2 linked regions of the Saccharomyces cerevisiae S288C genome follow. Changing the gene in region 2 together with the main gene of any one other region gives a genetic interaction. Each region holds a gene or a part of one and is shown on either strand. Other genes may lie near its edges.

Region 1 (3,765 bases), on a different chromosome or scaffold from region 2:
ATATTAACAACGAAGCTTGTATGAATAGTATAAAATAAACAAAGGTAGGAATTACATATTCTAATTGACAAAATATTTATGCAGTGGTCATTTGAAAATGGTCATTAAATTAAACAAGTAATATGAGAGGAATGAGAGGGAAATAAATAACTGAAAGATAAAGGAGATAAGGAAAAAAAAAAAAAAAAAAAAAAAAAAGGGAACTTTAGTTAGTAATAATAGAGTTTTTGGACTGATCAAATTAATGGTGTTCATTTGATTCTGTCTAAATTAATTTCATCCAGAATTTTCTTTGCGCCATCGGCAATCATTCTTTCAGCTAGTATCTTACCACACGCCATGGAATCTTCTTTAACATTTTCTATTAGCATTTCAATTTCGTCTTCTACTGCTTCTGTGCCTTCAACGTCAACTACAATGGCCTTTAATAGTAATTTTTTAGTCTCTTCATTGTATTTAGATTCCACACCAATAGGAACGGAACAACCCCCCTCTAAAGTTCTCATCAAAGCACGCTCCGAAAGGCAACATATAGTTGCATTTAGATCGCAAATTTCGTCAAGAATCTTCATCATCTTGGTGTCACCCTTTCTAATTTCTATACCCAGGGCGCCTTGTCCAACTGCATGGTACATTGTATCCGAATGGAATCGCTGCGTAATTCTGTTTTCCAACCCCATACGCATCAACCCAGCAGACGCCAAGATGATGCATTGGTACGGAGATTTTGGGTCGTCTAGTTTTTGTAATCTAGTTTGTATATTTCCTCTGACACTTTCAAATTTCAAATGTGGGTATTTTCTTTTTAGCTGAGCAGATCTTCTCACGGATGAGGTTCCCACAATCCCCCCGTCTGGAAGGTCATCCAGAGACTTATAAGCAGAGTAAAAGGGCATGACAAGACAATCTGTTGGATCGACCCGCTTAGTGATACCCCCCAGCTCGAAACCCTCTGGTAGTAAAGTGGGCATGTCCTTCAGAGAATGAACGATCAAGTCAAGCTTCTTTGAGGGATCGTCATGGTAAAGATGGTCTTCCAACTCCTTTGTCCATAAAGCTTTACCGCCAAATGAGTACAAAGGTTTGAATTGAATCTGGTCACCAAGAGTTTGCAAAGTGAAAACCTTGCAGTCGTAGTCCGGATACTTTTCTTCGATCAGTTTTAAAACATGGTTGGATTGTATTACCGCCAATTTCGATTTTCTCCCACCAATATGTAGAGTTTCAGGGCCCATAGTACGTGTGTATTTACCAACTACAAATTTATCTAGATTTTCTTCGCTTTTCTTTTTTTCTATTGTTCTAGATATTAATACGGGATGAGAAGAACAGAATATTCAAAATCTAATACAGCCCTGTACCATGCAAACACGAGCGTCAATCTGCCAATGACCTTGAATTCAGGCTATGTGTAGCAATAATACAGATAGTTAGTAGCCTCGTTTATATAAAGCGTTCCTTTACTTTTTCATTTTCTTTCTTTTTTTATGTTTGATTTTTTTACTTTTTCACTTTAAAAAATTGCTGAAATTTTCGTAGCCAAAAAAAAGACCTTCATTGCTTACTCATCGGTTTCTTATTGGTCAGACGCTCCCCAGGGTCAATTGACAAGGAGAGAAGGAATGTTATATGGGAATTGCTGCGTAAAGATGGTCAAAAATCCTGGACTGCCGTACGAACGACAATGTAAGGATGACTGCATTAGCCAGAAAGACATCTTTACCCCCGGTGCTGCCAGGGAGCAAAATAATTACGAAAAGTGGACGCAAAGTTAACTTAAACTACAAGGGTAGCAGCAGAATGTGTCGGTGGTACCGGTGTGATAATGCCCCATTTGAGATGCTTGTAATTGTGGCCTAGCAATAAGAACGCAAGGCGTTTTTGTTGAAAGGAGAACAAGGTTAGACGGTGACGTTTAGGCGCATAGGCAATCTCCCCTTATTGTTCACCCTTATTTCCACCCTCAAACGATAAAGCTTGCTACTTTGATGAAAAAAATATATAAAAGGGATTGAAAAGCAGATCAATTATGTAGCAATAGTAGTAATAACTTGTTCAATTGCTTGTCTCAACTTGCCACAAACTATCATCAACATGAATAGGAATACGACTACCAATAAGAACGCGAATTTGAATAACAGTAGAAATGCTAACGCTCCCGGTGAAGCAGGTCATCAGAACAAGACGGGATTGATATACTGGACTAACCCTAGCAAGTCGGGTGCGAGCTTTGCTGCGACTCTGGTGAGTTTGCTGATCCTCAGAAATGTCAATGTTATTTCTGTTTTACTTAAGATCGGATACATGGTGTTGTTCACGAGTTTTGCGGTGGAGCTTTCTACAAAGGTGCTATTTGATAAAGGAGTAGTGTCTAGGTTTGGCATGCAAGAGTCTCCGGACCTTGTTGGCGTCTTAAAGCCTCATATCGACCGCGAATTGGATCGTCTGCCTGCGTTAGAGGACAGAATCAGAAAGTTAGTGTTTGCACACAGAACAAGAAACAATTTTACCATTGGTGTTTCCCTCTATTTCTTGCACGGCCTATTTGCTATATTCTCTATGAACACTGTTTTGATAATGACCACCATCTTTTTGTACACTGTGCCTTTAATCTACGATAGAAAGCAGGCTAGAATTGACCGTGCTATCGACAGGATGAAGGATCTAGTTATTCATAGGTTTCACAAAAATTACAACAAGGTGGTTGAAAAGACTGAACCATACATTGACAAGATTATCCCACCCCAAACCGATGAAGGCAGCTACTCAACCTCTATCAGTAACGAAAACAAATCTTCTACTTCTCAACGTAACAAGAGCGGCCTTTCCTCTTCTGAGTTTGACAACATGAACGACACGTCAGCCTCCAAAAGTGGCAAAGACAGCTATTCTACCTCTCAATATAACCGAGCCGAATATCCAGTTTCTCAGAATGAGAATATTGGCACCTTAAAATCTGGGAAGCAGGAAATACCAACAGAGAAGGATTTCAACAACAGGCATGAAAACTTCAGTAAACCAGATGTCAAGACATATGATCCAAGAACAGTTGATATTGAAGAAGAATTAGCAGCTCATCAGCGTGAACTGGAGCAAAACCTAAAAGATGGTGATTACAATCTGGTAGGAAGCAAGGAAATCCCAGATCCAATCACCGTTCCAGCTCCAACTAGACACACCACTAAACCCGCCGAAAGCCAATCGATTCCCATCAAGAATAATGAAACCTTACACAAAACCACGCACGGCCTAAAGCAAAAATTGCAACACGCATAATCTAGTTTTTTTTTTTTTCTCTCTTCTTTCTAGCTAGTAGTTCATTTCCTTTTCTTTTTTTCAAAGAGGTCATATTTATCACCAACTATATATTTTTTTGAAGAAAAGATATCATTACAACGATAAGTAGTTACAATATTTTTTTTATTTAGTTTAAAATAATGAGTAAATGACGTCGCATTTCTTCGCTTTTGTTATTTTTATTCTCCTCTCATTTTTGAGGAGAATGTTACAATATTTTACTAATGTCCTGAATAATATTTGATTTATGGCATAATAAAGAAATGCGAATTCGTTAATTTGTCAAACTTCGAAGAGCATCAACTGCCTTCCTGAATCCCATTCTTGCAGCCCTCTGATAATATTGTTTGGCCAGATCCAAATCAACTTCACAACCGACACCTTTTTCGTAATAAAATCCTAAGGCAAATTCAGTGCGGGCTAATTTACCGTCTGAACACTTGCTGCTCTTCAAGGCCCAGTTGAATG
Region 2 (3,292 bases):
CTTTCATTTTTTTTTTTTTTTTTTTTCTATTTTTTTCATCAAAAAGGATTCAAAGGTTACCAACAAAATAAAAACAGAGTAAGGAAAAACAGATGTATCTATATGAATAGGATTTATAAATTCTGTTACAATTTATCATTCTCTCGTAATGATTTTTATGAATTTCACCATCTCCTCAATATGGGCCGCAAAGATGATCCAGTAAAAAACAATCCATCGGCAGAAGAGGAATAACAAATAAAGATAACAAAGTTTGACTACTCTTTCGTTGCAAAGTACGGTTCGACAATATTTATTATTCAATTTCTTCAATCTTGGAACCCTTCTTCGCATTTTCATTCTTGCCGTTTTCTTCGCCGTCGTTATCATCGTTATCATCAGCATCATTAGGTTCTGTTTCTCCTGCAGCCGCATTGCTTAAAGATGCCAACATATCTGATAAAGAAGCACCATGGAAATAAGAAGTGTTGCCGTCACTGTCGGAGCTGGGCCTCTGCCTTATTTGAATCCCGGCTTCTAATAGAGCCTCCAACGAAAACAAGTCAATAGGGCCAGTTCTATCCTCACCTGATAACTTTGAGGGAGTAGCACTGCTGCCTAATTCGGTATCAAGATCATCAATTTCCATGTCGTCATTATCTTTACTACGATTCAAGCGGTCTTGTAATTTTTTGGTGGTTATTGCGAACACTTCGTTATCATCATCCGAAAAATCATGGAAATCAAAAATACTTTTCCTTCTTTGGACAAAAGACGTTTGGATATTGTAATTTTTTGATCTCATACGCTCAAACCATTGTGACTCAGATTCATTTTCCTTTAGTAAAGCAACAATGGAAATACTCATATTATCACAGCCAATTCCTGAGCCTTCAGTTGTGGGTGAACAACAAACATCTACGATTCTAGATGAAATGTCGCTCAACGTCATATTACCTTGACTTATACCGTAGTGAACCAAGTCAACACACTCTTGAGAAGTTAAACAATCCCAAATACCATCACATGCTAAAATAACAAATTCATCCTCATCATAATTCAAATTGTGACAAATGATATCAGGAACACATGTAACGACTTGCTCATGAGGTCCCAATTTTGTGTTAGATTTGAATTCAAAATCACCTATGGCTCTTGATAACGCTAAATTTCCATTAACACGGTCCATCTCAACAAAACCATCAGCAGCTACAATACGAGATTTTTCACTTAACAATGTGGGCTTATGATCAAATGACATTGCTTTACTATTACCACCAGTAGATAGAACTGTTCTACTATCACCGGAATTGGCGCAAATTAGTAGCTTTTTCAATTGAGATACCAATATCACAGTTGCTGTACAACCACTATGGTCATCTTTTAATTTTTCATCTTTCAACAACTCAACATCTGTAGCTAAAAAGGTATCTATTAAGCACTGCTCTAACATACCGCTCTTGAAGCTCTCCTGTTTTTTCAGTATAGATATCATTTTAGAGCCACAAAACTCCGCTACAGAAGAACCACCATGACCGTCAAATATACCATAAAATGCGAGATGTTCCTCGTCAGACTCAGCCAAAAGGTTCGGCTCAACAATATGGGCATCTTCCATGGACATACGCCAGCCTTGCATGGCACATAGTCCAAACGCTGTCAAACAGTCCGTACCAGAATGATGCTCTTTGTCGATAATTGGATTGGACAATATTTGACCCATGTTATCTCTCTCTTTCTTCGATTTGTCTTCTTGGCCTTCTTCGTCTGCCTATAATAGAAACTTCAAAAAGTAAAATGAATATAGTCTAAAAACAGAAAGGGGCCTTCCGGTGGCAACAATCGAGCCAACAAGCTCTAAACACCTTTTACTCCTTTGAGTTTATTCTCTTGAGGGACAACCCATGTTGTTTTTTCTTCAACTCGCTGATATCACGCCTGACGAAAATAATGTTTAAAGGTTATTACTACTCTTCTAGAAGCTCTTAAGCATAAGAGCTAATTGTTTCTTGCTATATTACTTGTTGACAGCGGAGTAACATGATAACGTCTTTTTAATGGAAAAGATGACAGTTTCTTCGAATTACACCATAGCTTTATGGGCTACTTTCACCGCAATCTCCTTTGCCGTGGGTTACCAGTTGGGTACGTCGAACGCATCATCAACTAAGAAATCCTCAGCTACTTTACTGCGTTCTAAAGAAATGAAGGAAGGAAAGCTACACAATGACACTGATGAGGAGGAAAGTGAAAGCGAAGATGAGAGCGATGAGGACGAAGATATTGAGTCCACTTCATTGAATGATATACCTGGAGAAGTTAGGATGGCATTGGTGATTCGTCAAGATCTTGGCATGACAAAGGGCAAAATAGCGGCACAATGCTGTCACGCAGCATTGTCATGTTTTAGACATATTGCTACAAACCCCGCGCGTGCTTCATACAACCCAATTATGACACAAAGATGGCTAAATGCTGGACAGGCTAAAATAACGTTGAAATGTCCAGATAAGTTTACAATGGACGAGTTGTATGCGAAGGCTATATCACTTGGGGTGAATGCAGCAGTTATTCATGATGCTGGTAGAACACAGATTGCTGCGGGAAGTGCCACCGTATTGGGTTTAGGACCTGCTCCAAAAGCAGTATTGGATCAAATAACAGGTGATTTGAAATTGTATTGAGGTACAAATGATATATACTACGGGTATAGATATACGTGCATTTATATATTAAGTTGAAGTCTTTTCCCGTTTCTGTTTTTGTATATTTATGCTCATGCCCATCTTTGCACGACAACGGAGTTCAGCAGATCAGCGTCCTTCAATGTTGTCTCATCGTTGCTTATTGGTTTGATAGGAAAGGCATAATTCAAGGTGAAATTCCTCGATGGGTCAGTGTTCGCATTTGATGTCACATGCTCATACAAAAACTTTACTGTATCTGTGGAATTGCAGTGCAAAACTTCTCTTTTGCCATTTGCGTATCTAATTTGGATGGAGGTGTCGCCTTGTTTTGGCTCATTGTCCGGCATGGGTTGTTCCTGAGCAGCGGGTGTCTCATTCTTTGGAACCTCCGCAGGTGACGATTCACCCGGGATAGGAGATCCTAGTCTTTGGCCCTGGCCTGAAAAACCGCCCAGTTTTCTCGTCGGAGCTTTATAAGACTCATCTAATTTTTTATATACATTAACTTCAACTTCTTGTCCAAATTGCACATCTAAGAGCTTTAATGGAGCCCTCCCTTGATTTAACTCGCTCAAATAGAAACTGTTCGCAGGATCATCATAGCGATAAAGCGGACCATCGGCCAC

What was found.
Region 1: mutations in PTH2 (region 2) and RTN2 together harm fitness more than expected from each alone (negative genetic interaction), as found in Saccharomyces cerevisiae (one large-scale study listed by BioGRID).

What each region holds. Positions count from the first base shown.
Region 1 is NC_001136.10:92,511-96,275, forward strand, and holds RTN2 (Rtn2p), read left to right. Parts: upstream 1-2,094; coding exon 2,095-3,276; downstream 3,277-3,765. Other genes in the region: HEM3 (hydroxymethylbilane synthase), read right to left, coding at 252-1,235; YDL204W-A (uncharacterized protein), read left to right, coding at 1,623-1,775; ACK1 (Ack1p), read right to left, coding at 3,572-3,765.
Region 2 is NC_001134.8:112,172-115,463, reverse strand, and holds PTH2 (aminoacyl-tRNA hydrolase), read left to right. Parts: upstream 1-2,036; coding exon 2,037-2,663; downstream 2,664-3,292. Other genes in the region: type 2C protein phosphatase PTC3, read right to left, coding at 296-1,702; protein phosphatase regulator SHP1, read right to left, coding at 2,756-3,292. UniProt on the Saccharomyces cerevisiae protein: The natural substrate for this enzyme may be peptidyl-tRNAs which drop off the ribosome during protein synthesis.